Linked DNA regions of Tamandua tetradactyla. The protein of the gene in region 3 interacts with the protein of the main gene of each other region in a pairwise test. Links are inferred from orthologs where the notes say so. Each region holds a gene or a part of one and is shown on either strand. Other genes may lie near its edges.

The links.
Region 1: the proteins of ARRB1 (region 3) and MAPK9 interact in binary tests that used the Homo sapiens proteins (3 or more experiments, as listed by UniProt). The link is inferred for Tamandua tetradactyla from reciprocal best matches to the Homo sapiens genes ARRB1 and MAPK9.
Region 2: the proteins of ARRB1 (region 3) and GNMT interact in binary tests that used the Homo sapiens proteins (3 or more experiments, as listed by UniProt). The link is inferred for Tamandua tetradactyla from reciprocal best matches to the Homo sapiens genes ARRB1 and GNMT.

What each region holds. Positions count from the first base shown.
Region 1 is NC_135346.1:1,029,979-1,037,365, forward strand, and holds the start of MAPK9 (mitogen-activated protein kinase 9), read left to right. Parts: upstream 1-4,302; 5' UTR 4,303-4,439; intron 4,440-5,386; exon of another isoform or gene 5,387-5,871; intron 5,872-7,387. UniProt on the Homo sapiens protein: Serine/threonine-protein kinase involved in various processes such as cell proliferation, differentiation, migration, transformation and programmed cell death.
Region 2 is NC_135331.1:100,554,866-100,562,411, reverse strand, and holds GNMT (glycine N-methyltransferase), read right to left. Parts: upstream 3,091-7,546; 5' UTR 3,003-3,090; coding exon 2,797-3,002; intron 1,935-2,796; coding exon 1,807-1,934; intron 1,372-1,806; coding exon 1,255-1,371; intron 1,048-1,254; coding exon 905-1,047; intron 813-904; coding exon 691-812; intron 605-690; coding exon 433-604; 3' UTR 269-432; downstream 1-268. UniProt on the Homo sapiens protein: Catalyzes the methylation of glycine by using S-adenosylmethionine (AdoMet) to form N-methylglycine (sarcosine) with the concomitant production of S-adenosylhomocysteine (AdoHcy), a reaction regulated by the binding of 5-methyltetrahydrofolate.
Region 3 is NC_135334.1:70,220,273-70,227,964, forward strand, and holds the start of ARRB1 (beta-arrestin-1), read left to right. Parts: upstream 1-4,642; 5' UTR 4,643-5,715; coding exon 5,716-5,789; intron 5,790-7,692. UniProt on the Homo sapiens protein: Functions in regulating agonist-mediated G-protein coupled receptor (GPCR) signaling by mediating both receptor desensitization and resensitization processes.

The DNA.
Region 1 (7,387 bases), on a different chromosome or scaffold from region 3:
TTGGTGGAACAGGGTTACCTGCTGTTCTAGTTTGCTACCTGCCAGGATGCGATATACCAGCAACAGAACAGCTTTTTAAAAAGGGAATTTATTAACTTGCAAGTTTACAGTTCTAGGGCCTTCAAAATGTCCAAATTAAAGCAAGGCTATGAAAATGTCCAAACCAAGGTATCCAGGTAGAGATACCTTGGCTCAAGAAGGCTGATGAAGCTCGGGTTTTCTCCCTCAGCTGGGAAGACACATGGGAGGTCTGCTAGTTTTCTCCAGATTTCTTCAACTGCTCCCCGGAGGTGTTTTCTTTCCGCATCTCCAATGGTCTCTGGCTGTGCGGGCTCTGAAGCTTTCTCCAAACGGTTCCCTCTCAAAGGGCTCCAGGAAGCAACCCCACCTTGAATAGGTAGAGACGCATCTCCATGGAAACCATTAATCAAAATGTCCCACCCACAATTGGGCGAGTGACATCTCCATAGGAGCAATTAAAAAGCTCCCACCCAGCAACACTGAATGAGGATTAAAGGACGTGGGTTTTCTGGGGAACATAATAGCTTCAAACCGGCACAGCTGCCCATCCCTGAAGCAATCACTGAGGACACCGGGTACACTGAGGGGCGACGCCTGGGGCTGGAGTGCAGGGGACAGAGCCCGCAACACAAGGGGGTTCTCCAAAGTCCTGCGGAGATACAGCTGCTAAAGAAGGGATGGGGCTGGGATGGCAAACACAGCCCAGGGCCCCAGCAGGGAGCAGGCGGCGGGCTGTGGGAGGTCTGTAGGGCGCACCTGGTCCGCCTGGGAAGCAGCCACCGAGGACCCAGGCCACCCAGTGCACCTGCCCACCTTCCTGCTGCGTCCTCAGGGGCCCCGACTGTCCAGCCCGCTGCCCACAGGACTGAGGCTCGGAGAAGGGAAGCCCCAGTCCAGAGGTGCAAGCAGGAAAGCAGGGCCAACAGCTCAGAGCCCAGGCCGCCTCGGGGGTGGGGGGTGGGCCGTGGGCCATGGGATGGAGCCCAGGCGGTCCCCGAGGGGGCGAGATGGGGCAATGGGAAGCCCAGCCCCGGACTGTGCATGCGGACCCGGGCGCCCCCACTGCCCACCCTCCAGCCCAGGGGTCGAGGCCAGAGCTCCCTCTGCTCTCCTTTCCCTTCCCTTCCCCGCCCTCCTGCGCCCTCCTCTCCTTTGCCAGGCAAGCGAGCGGCAGCGGTGCTCGGTGTCCGGCAGCTGTGGCATCACGGAGGGGCGGGAGCTGCGGGTTGAGGCGGGGAAAGGGAGGGTGAGCACCCCAGAAGCCAGGAAGGGCCCACGGCCTTCCCGGCAGGGAGCCCACCCAGGGGCCGCAAAGCCGCAGGGGAAGGGGCGCACGGGGGCTGGAAAGGGGCAAGCGATGAAGCGGGGATGCATGGGGCACCGTCAGGACCGCGGGATCGTCTGTGCGACTGCGACCACAGGTGCCTGCCAGAGGCGGGGGGGGGGGGGGGGGGGGGGGGGGGGGGGGGGGGTGGTTGCGTGGCTGGCGCGTGGCGGAAGCGGGGGCGGCCGCGCGGCGGAGGCCGGGAGTGAAGCCTGAGCCCTGAGTTAACACCGGATCAGTACTGCTTAGTCAATGGTAACAAATACCAACACTAATAAAGATGTTAGTAATCCAGAGACTGGAGGGTATACGGGGGCTCCCCATACTATCTGCTCAATTTTCTGTAAACCTAAAACTGCTCTAAAAAATGAAAGTCAACCAATTAAAAACAAAAAGGCCCTTTTTCATAAAATAATTCTTTGGTTTTGGCAAATATATACTCATATAACCACGACCAAAATCAAAATATAGACTATATCCATTACCCCAGAAAGTTCTCTCTTGTCCATTACTGTCAGTCCCTTCCTCCCACTCTGGCCAGCACTGATCTGACTTTCCTTTTTTCCCAGAATGTCATATAAACAGAATCATGGAGGATATCAGCTTTTGTGGCTGGTTTCCTTCACTTAGCATGTTTTTGAGATTCATCCACGCCGTGACCTTGTCAGCATGTAGTTCCTTTTGGTTGCTGTGGCGCGCTCCATTGTTTGGACATGCGGCTTATCTGCTCTCCGGATGAGGGGCACACGGGTGGTTTCCAGCTTTTGAACTGTCAGGAATAAAGCTGCTCTAAACAATCACGCACAGATCTTTGTATGGGCACATTTTTATTTCTCTTGGATAAATACCTAGGAATGGGATTGCTGGGTTGTAGGGCGCACATATGCTTAACTTTAAAGGAAACCATCAAACCGCTTTCCAAAGAGGCGGTGCCATTTTGCATTCCCGCCAACTGGGAGTGAGCACTCCAGTCGCTCCGTGGCCACAATACCAGTCGGTATCGTCCGATTTTTAAAAATTTTAGCCATGCTAAGTCGTGCTGAGCGGCACCTCACTATAGTTTTAATTCTCATTTACCTAAAGACTTGAATAGTTCTAAAATCAATTTCTCCCTCTTGGCACCTGCTGCTGTGGCCCCAGGGAGGGTCTCATGCTTTCTCACAACCCCAACTGGTCTGACAACCCTAAGTTCCTCAATGCCCCCTTCCCCCAAAAAAACCTCTCATGCCCCAGTGACTTTCCCAAAACAAACACCCAATCACATGACCCCTTCCTTGTGTAACACGTCTAGTCAGCTGGCTGCCCTTTGCCTGCACAGTGGTACTGCCAGCTTGAGGGGCCACCAGCAGCAGGTCTCCTCCAGGACATGTGCAGCCAGAGTGGGCACGGGGTGGGGGAAGGATTCTGTGCACCCCTCCAAGGCAGAGACCCCACCCCAACCTGTCACCCCAACTGTGCATCTGCAAATGTCACTGCATGTCATAAGGCAGAAAAAGGCAGTATCTTTGGACTGGATTCCTTATAGAAAACTTAGTGTGGAATGTGTGTGTGTGTGTGTGTGTGTGTGTGTGTGTGTGTGCGCAACGTACAGTGATTTCTGGCTCTTCCCTGGCATGGAGTGAAGGGTGCCCTGAAAGGTGGGTGCTGTAAAAGCAGGCCCCTGAGTGTTCCCGGGCAAAAAGGTTTTTCTGGTTTGCCAAAATACTTGTTTTTGATCATGCAAATATGCCTGAGGCCAAGTGGCAGGCAGGTCAGTGTGAGGTGAGGACAGGCCGCCTGGACCTGTCTCTCCTGTCAGCCTCGCTCTAGCAGGAATGAGCCGGTCACCCCTTTGCCGGCCAAGGTCAGGGGCCCGAGGCTCCCTTAGCTCCTCCATCCCACCCCTTCCCCGAGGCCTGAGACCCCGGTGCCATCAGCCTCACCCCGCCCGGGGTCCCCAGCCCCTGACTTCCCCAGAGGGCCCTGCTCCCAGCTCTCCAGTCCACGCACCGGCGTCCTATGACTGCTGCTTTCCCATTTACCGACCACCATTTCCTACTTGCCTGCCCCCAAAGTCAGCCCGCCTCCTCCCGGTATGCCCTGACCGCTGAGCTTTCTCTAAATTTGCCCAAGCTCCTCCCGGACAGGTCGCTCAGCCAGGCGCGATGGCAGACCCCACCGCCCGAGGTGCTCCCGCCGCCCGAGATGCACCCACCGCGGGAAGAAAACTCAGGCCTGCCAGTCCCCAGCGGGACGGCGGGGCTGTGGGAGACGCCTCCAGAGAGCTCCGAGCAGACAGAACCCGGCCTCCCGCGGCCCCCCCCCCCCCGCGCCCCCTCCCTCGGTATAAATCTGCCCCTTTGCTCCTCTGACACAGAGGCTGCCCCTTCGGACCTCCTTACCCCCAGCATCCAGAGCCCCGGCCCCGCCTCTCTCGCGTCCCTCCCCGGCCCCGGGGGAGCGTCGACGTCTGCGTCCCACCTCCTCGCCTCCTCTTGCTTTCCACCGCCCCGCCATGGCTTGTAGCCACGCCCGCGGCAAACCCGCTCCCGGAGGCCGCGCAGCGACCCACGTCCCCGCGCCTCTCTCCGCTCCTCGCTCGCGATCCTGGGCAGCTCCTGCCCTGTCCCCGCCGCCACCCGCCCGGCTCTCGGTCCGGTCAGCCTGTCGGTCCACCCTCTCGGCCCCATCCGGGCTCTGCAGAACCCGCAGGCGTCCGCACCAAGACCTCAGGCTCCGGGCGCGCGGGTCTCGGCAGGCGCCGCACAGACCTCGGGCGCCGGCACCCGGACCTCAGGCTGCGGGCCGCGCCCCAGGCCCCTCCCGCTGGCCTGGTCCGCCCCCGCGGCCCGCCCCGCGGCGCGATTGGCCGGGCCGAGTCTATTGGGCCAGGCTCTCCGCGCGCTGATTGGGCGGCTGGCGGGTCAGTCGGGCCCGGCGCCGCGGCGGCGGCGGCGCGGGGGGAGGAGGAGCGGGACCGGAAGGGGCTACGCGCCGGGCGCCCTCACACCCACTGCGGCGGCCGGGCCCGGGCGGGCTGCGGGGGGCGAGCAGCAGCGTGGGGCCTCCGAGCCGCCCGCCAGCCCTGTCCGTCCGGCGCGGCGGCGGGAGCGAGGTGAGCCTGCGGGGCGGGCGGGTAGGCCTGGCGGGGGCTGCGGCCCGGGGGCTGCGGGCGGAGGGCGGAGGGTTGCGGCCAGGGGCACGGGCCGGGGTCTCAGGCGGAGGGCTGCGGGGGGCGCTGCGGGCCGGGGGCTGCGAGGGTGTTGGAGGGCCGGGGACTTGGGGGTCGTGGGGCTGCCGGGGGAGCTGCGGGGAGCTGCGGGCGGGGGCTGCGGTGCTGCGCGGGCCGGCGCCGCCCTGGCCTCGCGGCTGCGGCGGACGCCCTTCCCCCGCGGCGGTCAGCACCCGGGGCTGGGGCCCGCTCCAGGGCCGGGACGCGCCGGGGATGAGGCTGGGGTGAGGTCCGCAGGTGCCCGCCTTCGGGACCGTGGGGCCCGCAGCCGCGCAGCCGCGCCGGGACGTGCGGGAGCCCGGGTCTCGTCACCGCGACCTTGGCCGAGGCGGGGCCCTCGCAGCTCCTGGATGTTCTTCTGGAGAAAGTAAGGGAACACCCACTGGCCTGGGCAGGGCTGTGGTCAGGTGTGCGGCTGTGTGCGGGCGCCTGGAGCGGTAGCCCCGCATGCTTGTGCACCAGTGGGAGGGATACAGCCTCCTGCTGCAGTGTGTGGCAGGAGACCCCCCCATCGCCCCCACTCCTCCAGTGCGTTGTCATTGCACACTCAAAGCCAGGCCACTCCTGAGTGTTCCCTGCCCAGCTGTCCTGCCACTCCCCCCACCCACAGCCCCTCACGTGCCTTTCCCGGGGCCTTTACACTTGCTGTTTCCCAGGGTTGGAGTTGGCTTGGGGTCTTTGCAGAGCTGGCCCCTCAGCATTCCTGCCTCTGGCCAGCATGAATAGCCTTCTTTGACCACCCTCTGTCTTCCCTTAGTCATTCTGTCTCCTTGCTTTAATTCTCTTCTTAGTTTACTCTGGTTTGAAACCATTCCATTTATTTGCTGCCTATTTTCTGTTTGCCTACTAGGATGTAGGCGCTGTGAAAACAGGTAGTTCTGTGATTTGTTCACTGCTGTCTTCTCAGTGCTGAGAAAGCATCCAGTGAGTAGCAGTGATATCAGTTGAGTGAATGAATGAATGATCTAAAGAGAGACCTGGCGGTGCCTCTGGTTCACCTGTCCTTTAGTAATTTCGGGCTAGCTAGTGGAACCTGGAAGCAGATGGAAGCCTGTTCTCATTTTGTGAAACATTTTCATGGCCTTGACCTCTTTATTTGGCAACTATTGGAGCAAGCTATGGATGGAAAAGCTACATATTTGTGTCTTAGCTTGAGCTTATTTTGCTACATGCAGGAGGCACTTGTGAGTTCCGTGTTATCTAGGTCAGGCTTTGTGCCGGTGCAGGGGACACAAAGGAGATGGTGGCAGGGTCCCTTCCCCCAGAGAGCCTGAGAACCCCAGAAGGAGCCAGGCAGACAGTTCCGGAACAGCGGGTAACTGCCGCAGTGGAGGGGCCGTGCTGTAGAGACAGGCAGGAGTGACAGGTGGTGATGGAGTCGGGTCTGGATGGGAGAGGAGGCGGGTGGGAGCGGTGACTTCTGCCAGGCAGCAGAGGCGCTCTAGATTTTTAAGTTCAGTCTCCTTGTTTTTATATACCGACAATAAGTAATTATACTCTTTTTTTTAATGCTTATGTTTATGTTAGCCAAGCTAAACATAAACCCCATGCAGCTTGTCGGCAGGAATTTCAGTCTGGGGACCTGCTGCTGGGGAGAAGCTGGAAAGCCGCCTGAGGCCCGGGGAGCTGGGCCGGGGTATTTCCTGCTGTCCCTGCAGCTCTGGGGGGAGCAGCCAGGACGTCCACACTCCCCGGGGAGAGGGTTGTCCCTGCTGCCTTGACACGGTGGCTTCCCACCAGGCAGCTGCTGGTGAAATCTGAATCCAGGTCTCCGGGCAGACCCAGTGGCCTTCCCACAGTCCCTTAGCTCTGAGTATTGTCTTCTGGCTTTTAATTGAATTTGTTGTAAATGACCCTTTCCTCCTTTAAACCTTTTGTTCTCCCTGCAAAAGGATCCTGAGAGGTTAAAAAGAATCCCGTTTGGCACAGTATTCTCTGGAAAGCTTTGGCATTCCTGAGAATTGAGTTTTCAGAGTGCCATGACTTTAAATAATTTATGGGGTCCCCAAAATGTTATGCCGAGTACACTTGAATTTCATGTTTGTCTCATTAAAGTAAAATTGTCATGATTTTCTGGATGAAGAAAAGTTCCAGACAGAGCAGTTAATAGAGTAGATACGTTCCCGTTTTCATGATGCATAGAGTAAAAGAGAAACTACTTTTTTTTTTTACTGTTTTTTAAAAAAGAAGAAACTACCTTTTCTAAGGTTCCAGTTACATGTAATTTTCCTGAAGAATAACTAAGTTGGTACTTGGCCTTCTGTAAACTGTGATAGTTTGTCTGTCAGGCTTTTATTTTAACTGTGTCTTATGGAGATTTTTAAACTTATATGACAATAGCTAGAAGAGTACCCAGCTTGTGCGGTTATCAGCTCACGCCCAGTCGTCTTTCCTCTCTCACCTTCCTTAATTTCATACCTTATACCTGTGGCCTTATGCCCTCCCCCTCATCAATTTGGTTTGTTGTCTCTAAGAGGTGAGGAATCTTTCTAACTTGAAAGAGCCATAATTCCTTAAATAATCAGATAACCAGTATTCGAATTTCCAGTTGTCCCGTGTTTTTATCATTTATTTCACAGTGTGTTCATTTGATTCAGCTAAGGTCATCCACATTTTGATTGTTTGATGTCTTTCAACTTCTTTTAATCTGTAGGTTCCTTCTCTATTCTTTTTTGTTGTTGTTTTCTTTGTAGTTTATTTCTTGCAGTTTGTCAGAGAGCTTTGTCGTTCTATAGTGTTTCCACATTTGGGATTTTTCCTGATTTCATCTCTGCAGTGTAATTTAAAGTGCTTTTCCGTATCTCCTGAAAGTTAGTAATTTTGTTTGGACG
Region 2 (7,546 bases), on a different chromosome or scaffold from region 3:
CCAACACTACAGCTCATCACAGGAGGAGGGGCCGGGGCCTGCAGTTCTGGGGATTGAGCCCTGGAAGGGGGGGTGGTGTGTGGGTGGGTGGGGGTGGGCAGATCTGTGCTGAAAATAAAGTATATGCTGCCCCCTGCTGGTGGTATGGCTGAAAGGTTGGAGGGGTACAGGGCAAGTAGTAGGGTCGGTAAGCTCTAGGGGAGAACAAGGGTGAGGACCACAGGAGCCTGATCCTCTAGACAGAAACACAAGGCATGCATGCAGGAACTGTGAAGGCCACAGCTATATTGTTTGCTTTTCCATTTGCCTGAACCCAAATCCCTGCACTCCAGCCCTGGAGTCTACCCCTCTCCACACCTCCAGTCTCTGCACTGGGGCTGGGGCTTGATGTGGGACTGCTGGTCCCCACCTCCCCAGACAGAAGCAGGCCACTCAGCCTGTCCTCTTGAGCACGTGGATGAAATAGCAGGGAATGTAGGCCTGGCCTGGTTTGTAAGACTTGAAGTCTCCCAGGACGCTGTGCTGGCATTTGCCCCCAAAGGCTTCTCGGAGCAGCTCTGTGAAGGACTCCAGGCAGTGTGGATAGTAGGAGAGCCGGAACTTACTGCAAGAGAGACCCCAATCAACCATGGGGGTAGCTCCCCCTTGACCACCACCTCCTCCTTTCCCGTGGCCTAGCTGTGTGGTTACCTCATGCCAGGAGAACCATCCAGGCCAGCTCCTGGCACCTGCACTGTGTAGTCCAGGGTCACCATGTGGGCTTTGTTGTTTACAGTCAGCACTGACGTTGTGATGTCCCTGGTCAAATCACTCTGTAGGCCACGGTGCAACATCAGCCTCAGCAACCCATCGGGAACCCTGCCACACCTCCCACCTGGGGTTGCCTTCCCCCAGCAGGCCTCACCTTGTAGTAGATGTTCTTCCCTGGGGGTACACAGCCGGTGCTGAGGATGTGGTCGTAGTTGCGATGATCAATGACCAGCAGGCCCCCCAACCGTACCATGCTTGCAATGTTTTTCAGTGCCAGCCGATGCTCACTCTGGTCCCCTGAGCTCCAGACAGGGGCAGGGAGGGTCTGCTCAGGGGACCCCAGCACCAGTCTCCCATTTCTACCCTTCCCAGCAGTGCCAGTGTCAAGGCAAAGAAGGACAAAGCAGACTCTGCTTTAGTGAGGGAGCAGGCACCAGGAGAAGGGGTCTCTAGAAAGGGTAGAGCTTAGGGCAAGGCCATGCCCAGGGCCATACCCTCTCTCACCTATGCAGTCTGGCAAGTGGGCAAAACTGTTTCCAAGGCAGATGACCGCATCAAAGCCACCCCCTGGTGGCTGGGGCACATCTTTGTCCAGAGTCATCCAGTTGGCTTCTTCAATGACTGGGAGCCAAGAAACGGCAGCATCATTTCCATGGTATCAGTAGCACCCACCTCTACCAAGTGCAGTCCTGCCTCAGTTTTCCTATCTAGACAGGTACACAGGGACTCCCCATCCAGCTGAGGGAAGGGACATGGAAGGTGAGGAGGGAAGAGGGTCCAGAGGAGGAGGAGAAGGAAACCATGATGGGAAAGGAGGGCTTATGGGTTTTTATTTGTGGGGTACAGGGCACTATAAACATTTAAAATTAGCTCCTCATGTCCCAATGCTTGTTATGGCACCTAAGCCTCCCTTTTAAGGGAAATGGCAGTACTTTACTCTGATCTTCTTAATGTCCCCCTGGAGAAATAGAGAGTCCACTATGGGATAAAGTCACCCAGAGCAGAGAGAACTGTCCCTGGTGACCGAGCTGAGAAGGCTTGGATGGACCTGCATACCCCACTTGTCGAAGCTGGGCTCGTGCCGCCGGTTCCAACGCTCTTTTAGCGCATACTTCAGCATCTTGTCACTGGCATCCACACTGGTCACGCTGAAGCCCTCCTCCACCAGCATGATGGAGTCCACCCTGGACAGGGCCAGTGATGACAGGTAGGCAGGGGCAGTTGGGGGGTGGGGGCGCTGAGAGGGCAAGGAGGAGGCCCTGTGCTGGACACTGTCTCACCTTCAGAGCCGTCTCCTCTTCTTCCCACACCACCCCCCACCCCAGGCCCTCTCCACTGACCAAGGATGACTTCATAAATCTGTTTCTTATCACCAGGTAGCAACTTTTTCTTTAAGCACTTATTCACAGCTAAGCATTAATTCTCGTAGCAATCCTATTAGTAGATGGAGGTATCCAACTCTAACATTAGCAACTGAGGCTGGGATTAGTTCAGGAACTTGTGCACAGGAGGCAGTATAAGGGAAATGGTTTCCTGCACAGGCCAGACTAACCAACTTCAGTCTGTATCTTCTCTCCACTAGACCTTTATTTCTCTGCAGCCTAATTTCCATTTTCCCACAACTTATTTTATGGGTTTTTGTGAGGATCTTTAACAAATGTTATCAAAAGCTCCTGGCAAAGCACTTGGCACAGACAGATGTTACCTTATCATTGCCCAAGGCCAGCAAACTAGGAACAACCCGTGAGCCCAATCCGAGCTCACCATAGGTTTAGCTCCAAAGCCCAGGGTCTTCTGTTGCCCTGAGGCACCTTCTGCCTTCCCCAAAGCGCTGTGCTCACACCCTCATTCCCACTTTGGTCTCCTCACCACTCTCCCCCCATCGACCTCGCCTGTACACTCGCCGAGCCGTTCTGCCCCGGCACACACCGATTGCGATCGGACTGGCAGGGGAGGCTGCCCCGACGTGCCCGGCTGCGGCCCTGCGCTCCCGCAGCTGCCCCCAGCCACCCCCGGCTCCCCGCTCCGGCTCCCGCCCGGGCTCACCCGGTACCACAGGCCACGTCGAGCACCCGCTGGCAGCCGTGTTGGCGCAGCAGCCCGAGCAGCCAGGCCTTGTACTCGGCCGTGCGGCTGCGGGTGTCCCCGATGTAGAGCTGCCACACGCGCGCCGCCTCGCCGTCTGCATACTGGTCCGGGAGCCCCTCGGCCGCCACTCCCAGGGAGCGGGTCCGGTACACGCTGTCCACCATCCTGCGCCGCGCTGAGCTCCGCGGCCCCCGCTCCACGCTTATAGCGCGGCCGCTGCCCCCGGCCGGGCGCCCCACCTGGCCAATGGCAGGTGAGCGCGGGGACACGCCCCTGCTTGGTTCCCCGCCGGGTGCCCGCGGCCGCGGGGAGGGCGCTGCTTCGCAATCCTGGACCGGGCCCTTCTCGCCGGACTGAGAACCTAGCTCTCTGGGCAGTTCCACCGCGGGAAAGCACCCTCCTACCCTTCCCACCTTCGGCCCACCTGGCCTGGCTCGCCAGGAGGATCCGGGAGTGGCCGGGAGAGGGGAGCAGTGAGATTGCCCACCCACCCACCACACAAGTTGGAATGAAAGGGAAAAAAATTTCCAACCCCAAAATTCACAGACGAGCGCCCAGGCGGGCAGGACTGGACAGACCGCAGGGAAGGCAGGTTTTAGCATATCTAAGTAAGGAATCGACGTCCTGCTGAAGGGAAGCCTATTCAATCAGGGAGGGAGAAAATGAAGAGTGTCAGGATAATGCTGGTCTGTCCATCCAAGTTCAAGGGCAGAGAGCAGTGATACGCACCCAAGCCGCGGCACATGCGCCTCTGTTGTATAGGGGACGCATCAGGCTTTTCCGTGAGCCACCCAATATGGAGTCTTCCATGCCCACCCCTTCTAAAAACCATCTGCGACCAAGTAGGTGCCCATAGAGAGCGCAGCTGGGAGCAGGGGTGGGAGTGCTTGGCGCCTTTGCTATTAAATTGCTCGTTGCTACTTCATAAATTGGTGCTTGGGTTTGGTTAGTCTACCCTTTCCACCCAGAGCAGAACGTTTCTGAGACATCTCTGTCCTCTGAACCCAGGTGGATTCACCAACACGAAGTGACTCAGCAATGCCTTAGTCAGGGACAACAGCCTTCCCTACCTGTCTTTTTGTTCCTCAAGCATCTGAAAGAGTGAGTTATGGGATTTAGGACAAAGGAGGCTCGTCTAACCCCCTTATCCTCTACAGAATCTTAAAGCTGGAAGAATCCCCAAAATCATATAATAATCACGCTTATTTTTTTACTTTTATTTTTAGCACAGACAGTGCTTCAAAGGAGCCTGTGGTATCCAAGTAAAGGAGCCTTGGGCTCCCACTGATGCTTCAAGACCTCTCTCTGGCAACAGCTTAAAGATGTACTGTACTGGGGAGATGTAAGCAAACCCAGACTCATTCTTTTATCAGAATATTTTAAAGGAAGTCCTAGCTTTTTAAAAATTCTTATGTTAAAAAAATTATCCTGTCAGCTGGTAATAATCCTGGCACTTGGCATCAAAGCATAATATATATTCCTCTCTCTCTTTGGAGTTAGCTTCTTTCTTTCCTTCTTTTCCTTCTTTTTCTCATCCTTCCTTCTTTCTTTCCCTCTCTCTCCTCCCTTTCTTTCCTTCTCTTTCTCTTTCTTTCTTTCTTTTCTCTCCCTCTCCCTCTCTCTCTCTCTCTCATGTCTGAGGTCTCTCCAAGAAAATAAGTTATTTCCTTGGGTAGAAAAATGGGTCTTTACTTAAAATAAACTTGATATTTATTTTTCCCTAAATCAGGAGAAAAGTAATTATTTGGCTATACATTGATGAGCTGAGACTTATATCTGTTAACTAACAATTTGGTCACATTACAGGAATTGATATTTTAAGGAGTACTCGCCCTACTGAATTATTTGATTTTGACATACTGGAATTCTGAAAATACATTTAAGAAATTAGGAAGAAAATGATGTCAAATTGGAATAAACAAACAAAACAAGTTCGTTGTCACTATCTATAGATGATAGATGTATTGACTGAACATAAAATAATTGAGAATTAACTGGGCTAGGGCAATTTATTTTATTTTTTTCCTTACTATTGCTTTCTTTCCCGTTTGCTTTTGTCTAGGAAAGGAATGCTGAAATAGATAGGAGGTTGGCTCACCCTTGTAACCCTCCTTTTTTTTTTAAATATTTTTTATTGTGAAATAACATATACACAAAAAAAGCAATAAATTTCAAAGTTATAATTACATTGCAACAAGTAGTTATAGAACAGATTTCAGAGTTTGATATGGGTTACAGTTCCACAATTTCAAGTTTTTCCTTCTAGCTGCTCCATGACACTGGAAACTAAAAGAAATAGCAATATAATGATTCAGCAGTCATACTCATTTGTTAAATCATAACTTCTCTGTTATAACTTCTCCTTCTCCTTTGATCCTTCAACTAATCTTGAGGGGTATTTGGGCTATGGTCATTCTAATTTTTTCATGTTGGAAAGGGATATTGATGATATGGGATAGGGGAATGAAACTGGTTGATGTTCTTGGAGAGGCTGGCCCCTCTGGATGTCAGGACTTATTTGGCCGAGGAACCATATGGAGGTTGTAGGTTTCTGGACAGTAATCTTAGTGTGTGAAACTTTCATAGAAGCTCAGATTAGAGTCCTAGGTATTTTTTAGGGTTAACAGGAATGGTCTTGGTTGGGGTTTGGCAAACCATCGTAATTAGTAATATCTAACTCAAACTCGCGTAAGAGTAGCCTCCAGAATAGACTTCATTCTATTTGAAATCTCTTAGCCAAAGATACCTTATTTTGTTACATTTCTTTTTTCCCTTTTGGTCAGGAAGGCATTGTTGATCCCATGATCCCTGGGAATCATGTCCCACATTGCCAGTGAGATTTTCAATCCTGGATGTCATGTTCACATAGAGAGGAAGGTAATGATTTTCCTTCAGAGTTGGGCTTAGAGAGAAGCCACATCTGTGCAACAAAGAGGCTTCATGGAAGCAACTCTTAGGCCTTGTTATGGGTATCCCCCTACAGAATTAAGCTTTGTAAGGGCAAGTCTCAAAATCCAGTGCTTGACTGCCCCATTTGAAGAATTTCTGATATTCTAGCAAGCAGTGGGACAACCAAATCAATAGACTGAGCCCTCGATCTTGGGGTTTGCCCCTATGGAACTTACTCCTGCAAAGGATAGGCTAAGCCTACTTAAAGTTAGGCCTAAGAGAAACCCCCAGAGAATCTCTTTGGTGGCTCAGATGTGACCTCTGTCTCTAAGCTGACACAGCAAGTGAACTCACTGCCCTCCCGCTCTACATGGGACATGATTCCCAGGGGTGTAAATCTCCTTGGCACCATGGGATAGAAATCCTGGGAGGAGATAGGACTGGTATCAAGGGATTGAGAAAGACTCCTTGACCAAAAGGGGGAAGAGAGAAATGAAACAAAATAAAGTGTCAGTGGCTGAGAGATTTCAAACAGAGTTGAGAAGTTATCCTGGAGGTTATTCTTAAGCATTATATAGATATACCTTTTTAGTTTATGGTGTATTGGAGTGGCTAGAGGGAAGTACCTGAAATTATAGAGCTGTGTTCCAGTAGCCTTGTCTCTTGAAAATGATTTTATACTGATATAGCTTTTACAATGTGACTGTGTGATTGTGAAAACCTTGTGTCTGATGCTCCTTTTATCCAGGGTATGGACAGATGAGCAAAAAATATGGAATAAAAAAATAAACAAATAATAGGGGGAACAAAGGTTAAAATAAATTTGGTAGATGGAAATACTAGTGGTCAATAAGAGGGAGGGATAAGGGGTGTGGTATGTATAAGTTTGTTCTTTTTTATTTCTCTTCTGGAGTGATGCAAATGTTCTAAACAATAATCATGGTGTTGAATACACAACTATGTGATAATATTGTGAGCCACTGATTGTACACCATGAATGAAATGATGTATGTTAAAATTGTTTGTGTGTTGTTTTATCAATAAAAATATTTTTTAAAAAAATTCAGTGCTTGCCTAATTTTTGGGGGAGTCTCCAATGGTTGAGAGGGTACCTGGGGTTTCCCAGATGGGAAAGTTTAATAGTTCCATATATATATAAACTATCAAAAGCATATTTTATTTTCTTAACCATAAATTCCTTGCCCTTAAACATATTTTTAGTGGCTAAATAATAGTCCATTGGGTAGATGTGCTGTGACTTGTTTAATCATTCCTCAAGTTTTAAACATTTAAAAATCTCACAATTTTTCAAAAGAGTGAATATGTGGATATAATCAAGCCATTTTCCAAATGGAATTTTTCTATTAATTAGTACTGTCACCCCAAAACAAGTTTATTTCAATTATTTACATGAGGTTGTCACTGATATTTCATTAGGTAGAAAATTATACCTAGTTGTTATACTCTTCTTTAATTACTACCAGAATGTATCAAATAATTGCAGTCCTTCATCTCTAAATTGTTTGTTCTGCCCACTGAAAGATATTAAACCACCTTTTATTTTTGTCTTTCTTGTAGATAAACTGTAAATTTAGCCCAAGGACCTGGGACATGGAAAGGAAGGTCACAGAATATATAAACCAACTTATAATTTGACTTAGTTGAAAATGAGAATAGGTGATATTTTAAATATGCAACATTTATTATTTGGAATTGGCTGAAAAGACAACATTTTTTTTTTTTTTAAAGGAAAGACAGAGAGAAGGAAGGAAGGATAGAAGGAAGGAAGGAAGGAAGAAAGGGAAACATCTTTAAACAT
Region 3 (7,692 bases):
AGAAAGCCACAGAAAGAGAGAGTCATGGGAAGAAGCAAGAAGCTGTAAGTCAGCAGAATCCAGAAGAGACAGGAGAAGACAGAAAAAGCCAAGGACCAAGGATTGCCGGCAGCCAGCCCCAGAATGCCCCAGTCTTCAGGGAGAAAGCATTAGCCTTGCTCATACCTCGACTTTGGACTTCTAGCCTCGAAACTGTGCACCAATAAATTCCCATTTGTTTAAGCCAGTCCATTGCATGGTATTTGTTTTAGCAGTCAAGAAACTAACATATAAATGTCCATCAATGGATGAATGGATAAACAAAAGGTGGCTTATACATAGAATGGAATATTATTTAGCAGTAAAAAGGAAAGAATTTCTGATACATGCTACAACATTGATGACATACAGCATGTTGAGTGAAATAACCCGGCTACCAAAGGATAAAGATTGAATGATTTCACTTATATGGAATAACTAGAATATCCAAATTCATAGAGCTAGAAAGAAAATTACAGAGTACCAGGGGTGGGATGGGGAATGGGGAGTTAATGTTTAATGGGTACTGTTTAAAGTTTTGTAATGGGTGGTGGTGATTGTAGCACAGTGAGTGTAATTAATGCCACTGAACTGTATTCCTGCAAGTGGTTAAAATGGGAAATAGTATTGTCTCCCTTGGCTAAAACTGCTGGAATGCAATATACTAGAAATGGGTTGGCTTTTACAATGGGATTTATTAGTTTACATATTTACAGTTCTAAGGCCATGAAAAGGTCCCAATTAAGACATCAACAAGACAATAGCTTCTCTGAAGAAAGGCTGCTGACATCCTGGTTCCTCTGTCACACGGGAAAGCACAGGGCCAGCGGCTGCTGATCCTTCTCTCCCGGGTTTCACTGCTTGCAGGTTCTGGCTCTTTCAGTTTCTGTGTGTCCTTTCTTGTTTCTCCCAGAGCTTTTCTCTCCAAGCCCTCTTGGTATTTCTCTCTTTGAGCTCTCTGGGCTTTTCCTGTCTTTTTTCCTCTCATAAAGGACTCCAGTGAAGGGTTAAGACCCACCTTGAATGAGCCGGGTTACATCTAAATGGAAACCACCTCACCAAGAGATCCCACCCACAATAGGTCTGCCCCTACCAAAATGGATTAAATGAACTTGGCTTTTTCTGGGATACGTAACAATTTCAAACCAGCAGAGGTATGTTACTACAATAAATAAATACTAACCCCCCCCATAGAACTGTACAGTACAATGAGTGAATCCTAATGTAAACTATGGACTTCAGTCGATAATTTAATATAATAATATTGGTTCATCAATTGTAACAAATGTACTATGCTAGTGCAAAATGTTAATAATAGGGAAAGATGCATGAGTGAGGGTAGAATAAGGATTTTTCTGTAAACCTACAACTCCTTTAAAAAATAAAAATAAAATTTAAGAAAACTTAAACAAAAGCTATTGAATAAAGGCTATAATCAAAGGTCAAATTCTGGCTTTCCTATGAATTAACTCCCCTTCGGGAAGGGCCAGAGGAAGGGAGGTCAGAGGCCAAGGTCCAGAGGAGGCTGTGGACTCAGGCAAATTCCTTAGCTTCTCTGAGCATCAGTTTGCTCATTTATAAAATAGGGTAAAGAGCATTTATCTCACCTAATTGTGGGTGCTAACTAGTGCCAGACACACCACATCCTCTCTTGGGAATTTTACAGGCTAGTGGGACATACGTGACATCTTGAATGCCTGCCTCCACAGTCTAGCGATCCGTTTGGCGTCCCTAGAATGCTCACGCCATGCTTTCCAACCTGGGAAAAGCTGTGCAGGGCAGTGAGTACCTGGAACCATCAGATGCAGCTCCCTGGACTCACTGAACTTATTTGCACTTGTGATTTGGGCACTAGCATGGGCAGAACTACAGAGGATCCTCTGGGTTGAGTGAATGAGTGTTTATAGGTGGAGAAACTGGGGTGCAGAGGCTGGCAGGCCCTGGCCTCTCCATTCTGGCTCGGGTCCTCTCTGGCTCACAGAGTGAACCTCCTGTCATCAAGGAGGCCTCTGGTCTGCTCCTCTCATGCTCCCTGTCTCCCGCTCCCTGTCTCCCACACCCAGCAGGTGACTTCCTCTCCTCCCGCTGTGGGGGTGAGGTTGGAGCCCAGAGGCCAAGGAGGGAGGGGGGTTCTGGGCCCTAATCCACGCTCTCTTGGCTCCTAACATTGCTTTGACCCTGACCTTGGACCACCCTGCCTGCCCATTCCTCCCCCTCCCCCAATATGGACATAATTACAGTAATTATGTTGAACGATACTGGGATATCATTACTCAACTATATATATATATATGTATATATGAACATAATTACAGGAGATGTTTACAGACCTGCAATCACATCAGAGTAAATTACAGCTTCCTTTTCTCTCAGTAATACTCCGATATTAGGGATCCATCAGGGTCAATTAGACCAAATCCCAGCAGTGACCTGAAGGGAAGACCTCACACTGCAAAGCAGTCAGGGACCTTAGGCAAAGAAGGATGTCAGCCAGCATTTCACAGGACACCAAGGAGCCTGGAGAGAGTGGCCTAACATTTACTGGGCACCTACTGCATGCCAGGCACTCGGGGAGTTCAGCAAACACAAGTGAGTGCTTTCAATCTAGGAACAACTCCTAGGAACAATTCTCCAGGCTGGTATTAATATTCCCACTTTACAGGTTTGGAAATTGGCTATGACAGGGCTGATGTCCAGGGTCACCCCCGGCAGGTGGTGGAGCTGGGCCCGGGTGCTTTCGAGGCTAGACTGCCAAGCACGCAGCAGGCCAGCTCTATGTCCCCTTCCTGTACTCCATTTCTCCCCTTCTCACAGCTTCCTCTTCCTGGGCTGCCACTCGAAGCCCCGGCTCGCCTCCTGTCTCCCCACCCTTATCAGTTCTCCAGCGTCGACACTGCCTTCTCCTGCCCCTTCCTCCTCTTTTTCCTGTCCCTGTAGGGCTGTTCGTTATTATCTCTCCAGAAGCGAGGGAGGGGCTGGTGCCTAGGGCGAGGGCCCTGCCAGGCGCCCGGAGTCTCACCGACCCCTAACCCCAGCCACTACCATCCGGACGCCGCCAGGGGTTTGGCCCGGGGCTCGGCAGACCTGAGGCTTCCACCCACCGACACTCGCAAAGGCTGCCCCCGGTGTGCGCAAGAGAGTGCGCTCGCACCCACGGCGTGCGCACACACGCACAACTGCACAAAAACGTGCACACCCCTCTAACCACGCAAATACACTCTATAATAGGCCCGTGCACACAGCCGTACCCACGCACCCGCACCGGCACACACCCTCGCGTGCACACAGGCGCACGTTTACCCAATCCAGCGTGCTCCCTCACATACACACGTACACACGCACACAGAGAGGCATACAGCTGGACATATGCCCATGTATATCCCCAAATGCCGACCTCGGAGCCTTGACCCGTACCACCGCCCTGCGCTCGAGCCTTCGCGCACACACACAGAGGCAGACACAGGCACAGACAGACAGTCACATTCGCGCGCGCGCGCGCGCACACACACACACACACACACACACACACACATACACGCACGCACGGTTCCACGCCCCTGGCCGCTGCCCTGGCGCTGCGCGGCGCAGCGGGGCGGCGGGCGGGGACCGGGGGCGGGGGCGGGGGCGGCGGCGGCGGCTGCGGGTCGAGCCGAGGAGGCGGAGCAGGGAGCCGGGAGCGGGCTGGCGGGCGCTCCTCCTGCCGGCCGGGGATTTTCCAGGCTGGACGCTGACGCCGCGGACCTCCCTGCGGCCGCCGCGGACCATGGGCGACAAAGGGACACGGTGAGTGCGGGCGACGGCCCGGCCCGGCACGCGTTTGGCCGACCTGGGCGAGAGCTCTGGCGGGGCCTCGAGTCCGCGTCCTGGCGCTGCGTTCGCGGCCACCCGAGGACTGCCGTGGTCTGGCTCCCAGCTCTCCTCCGCCCGAGGTCTTTCGTGTGGTCCCCGGGAGAGGCCGTGGGCCAGGGTACCCAAAGGGCGAGGACAGGTCGGCCCCACGCCGGAACACACTCACACACACTCACTCCTTCGCAGACACCCAGCACTGGCGGGCAGACGCAGGGACTCACGGGGGCAGGTTGACACACAATGGCACACACACTCGTGGGTACACAGGGCACACTCATTCTCGGGCGATCTCATGCCGGCACACACACTGACATTCACGACCAGACATTCGTCCCATACAGTGACACCCTTGGTGCACACACCAGTATACACTCATTGTCAACATATTCATACTGTTGGCATCCACGGGTACACACGCCAACATACCCCCATGCTGGCACATGCATGTGGGCGCACACCGGTATACATAGTCTCTTGCATTAATTGTCATAAACACTCCTGCAGGCACACACACAGTGTTACCTTCGCTGACACGCTCACTTGTGCTGGCACATATCTCACCAACACCAGACCACAACAACACTGACCCATGCAGACACACATCAGAATAACACCCACACAGACTGGCGCCCCGTGGGAACAAGCTAACAGATCTCGGGACTGCTGACCCGCTCCCTCCAGTCCCCGCACGGTGAGACACGGAAACACACACACACACACACACACACACACACACACACACACACACACACACACACACACACACACGGGGTGGGGGAGCCTGGGGAAAGCAGGATCCATGGGCTCTATTTCCTTTCCCTTTGGTTCCCGAGGCCTGGCGTGGCTGGCCAGGATTTGTTTTGAGCTGGAGGTGGGGAAAGGGGCTCCTGTCTTCTGAGCAGCCTGCCCTGAAAGACTTTGACTGGAAAGGGAGTGGCCATGCTTCTGAAATGGGAAACTGGGGCAAAAGGGGAGAGGATGCAGGGGCAAGGCGACCCGCAGAGACTGCTCCGTGGGACCCAGACAAGCCCCGGTCCGGTACTCACCTCTGTCTCCCTGGTTCTGTCCTTAATTCTTCTCACCCCCTTAAGTTCTGACAGAAGCCCCTCCCTTGTCTCCTCCTCTTACTGCTTCTGCAAGCCGCTCTTTCATTTGTTTCTTTCTTTATCTTGTCCTATCCTTGTGTTCCTTGTCTCTGATCTCCCTTCTCCTTTCCCTTGCTCCACCCTACCCCCTCTCTCCTTGTTTCCAATGATCATTTATCGAGAGCCTACTATGTACAAGGCATAGTTTGGAGATTGAAGATGCACAGGCACATTTTTTCCCTGAATGTGCTAATAGACTGGAGAGAAATGGCCCTGTCATGGTATTTTGGGACCACCATCAAAGTGATTTCTCACCCACTGCCATCTGAGATTCTCTCAACAGCTGAAAAAGGTGCTCCAGAAATCATTTCCAATTTCTGGAAGAAGACACCGAGGCTCAGAGATAACATATCCTCTTAACATTTACAAACTGTTCCCCAGCCATCCTCTTGACGGCTCTGGAAGGTTAATTTTCCTCTTCCTGTTTTCTGGTAGAGGAACTAGAGCACTGAGAGGCCACCTGACTTGCTTATGGTTAAGAAGGGTCAGAGATAGGGCAAAAGCTGGAACCCCCTTGGTCCATTTTTCTGTGGCTCACTTTGGGCACTGCCAAGTCCCTCAGGGGTCCTGGATTTGGGGGCCAGGGTGGGGTTCTCTGCTGTGTGCATGGGGGTTCCGGCTTTGTAGGCAACTGCAGAAGATCACGAGAAGCCTGCTTTCGACGCGATGGACGCTCCCTGTTTCAGCCAGCCTGGCCAGCCCTATGGCCCAGGTCTCTGCCCTCAGACTCCCTTCTGCGCCACGTGCATCTTCCCAGGAGCAAAGACCCTCTGAATGGTGAGGTCTGGCTTTCCTTCCCGAGGGCGGAGTGGGAGTCAGGAGCCACGGCTCCTCTCCTCTGCTGCTCCTGCCTCACCATCAGGGTGACTCAGCCCTCTTGGGCCTTGGTCTGCCTCTTTGCGTCTTGGGGAGAAGTGTCACTGGCTTGTCATGGATTGTCAGCAGGATGGGGCCACCAAGGGCAGCCAGGCCCCAAAGGCGTCTGTTGGAAATCCTGTCTCTGAGGCCAGGACTTTTTCCGTGACTCTCCCCTGATATTCCTTTAACTCACTGGGGGGACCTTGGGTGATTGCCTTCACCCTTCTGGACCTTGGTTCTCCCATTTTTCTTCCATCTCAGGGCTCTCCTCAGTTTACGGGATTCACTGGGCAGGGTAAGACTACTGCTTGCAGCGTGGAGCTCAGGACTGGCTAAACCCCTGCCGTCCCCCACAGGCACCCCTGCAGCCCCTGGAGGCCCCTCTCCACCTTTCCAGATGGGTTTCCTGAGGAATTTGGAAGAGAAGAGCAAAATAGATAATAGACTGCCTGGTTCTGTAAACCACGGGATTCTACTTGACTTATGACTTAGAAGAGGAAATTGCAAATATCTAATACTTTAAGCATCAGAAGTCATTGCATCCATCCCTCCTCCTTGAATCACACTCCCCCATTTGAAAGTGAAGACAAAAATTAATTAGAAACTGCCACTGGCCTCTCGGACTAAATGGGAAAGAGGGGATGAGACAGTGCCTCGATGGTACCGTACAGGCAGGTACACACTGGGATCAAGCCCACATTCAGTCGACAAATGCTGACTGAGTGCCTTCTGGGTACCAGGGGCTGGGGCTCAGACATGAAGGACTCTACTGTGCCCCCAGAGGATTGAGGGCAGAGCAGGTGATTATAATGCAGGGTTACATGTGTTGGGGGATGCCTAAGAAGGAGTCCCCAATCCTGCCCTAGGCAGAGGGCATGATACGGGAAACTTTCCTGGGAAGGAGGCGGTATTGGAGCTACTGAGCTTCAACTGGAAGGATGAGGGGCCCGGGAGGCGGAAGTCATTCCTGGCCATGGGTGCAGAATGTGCAAAGGTTTGGAGGCATGAAGCAACACCCGTGGTCTGGTGGTTGGGTTAGCTATGATAGATGAGCTGTAAGAGGTAAACACAGGCCAGTCATCAGCAGCCTGGAACGTCAAACAAGGGAGAGGGATTTTCTCCTGAAGTCAGTGGTGAGTCAGAGAAGAGTGTGGGGCAGGGGAGGGATGGGAGTAGATATTTGTTTCAGAGACATGCGTTTGGCAGTAGCAGAGAGGGTAAGTGGGAGGGACCGGCCTGGAAGCAGGAAGACCAGTGAGAAGCCTGGGACAGGCCTGAGAGAAGATGAGATCTGAACTGAGGCCCAGGTGGAACTGAGAGATATTAATAAAGGGGTGGAACCCATCAGCCTTGCTGGTTGACTGGACCTTTGTTGGGTCCCTGGTATTTGTCCGGAGATTTATATGCATAATCTCATTTGACTTTCCCAAAGATACTCCTAAAGTAGGGATTGTTATTCCCATTTTGCAGAGGAGGAAACTGACTAGGAGAGATTAAATAACTTGTCCACTGGCATTCAGCCATTGAGGGTTTGAGCCCAGGCCTTTCTGCCTTCGAAGTCCTCTCTGCTGCTCCACACATTCAGCCAGGAGGGAGGCTTGTCTGGCTCACAGCTGGCCTCCCCCAGAAGTCCCCAGCTCAAGTTGTGCATTGCTTCTGGGCCTTGCTGTTTCTACTAACTCAGTCGGCAGCACAAAGGATCTGATTTAGACAACAGGAGGGACTTCCTGAGAGGTAATAGGATAGAGTGGAATTTCTTTCCTAAGTTTACATACTCTTTTATCTTTTTTTCTGGGAGAGTAGAGGGTAAGTGTGATAGGGA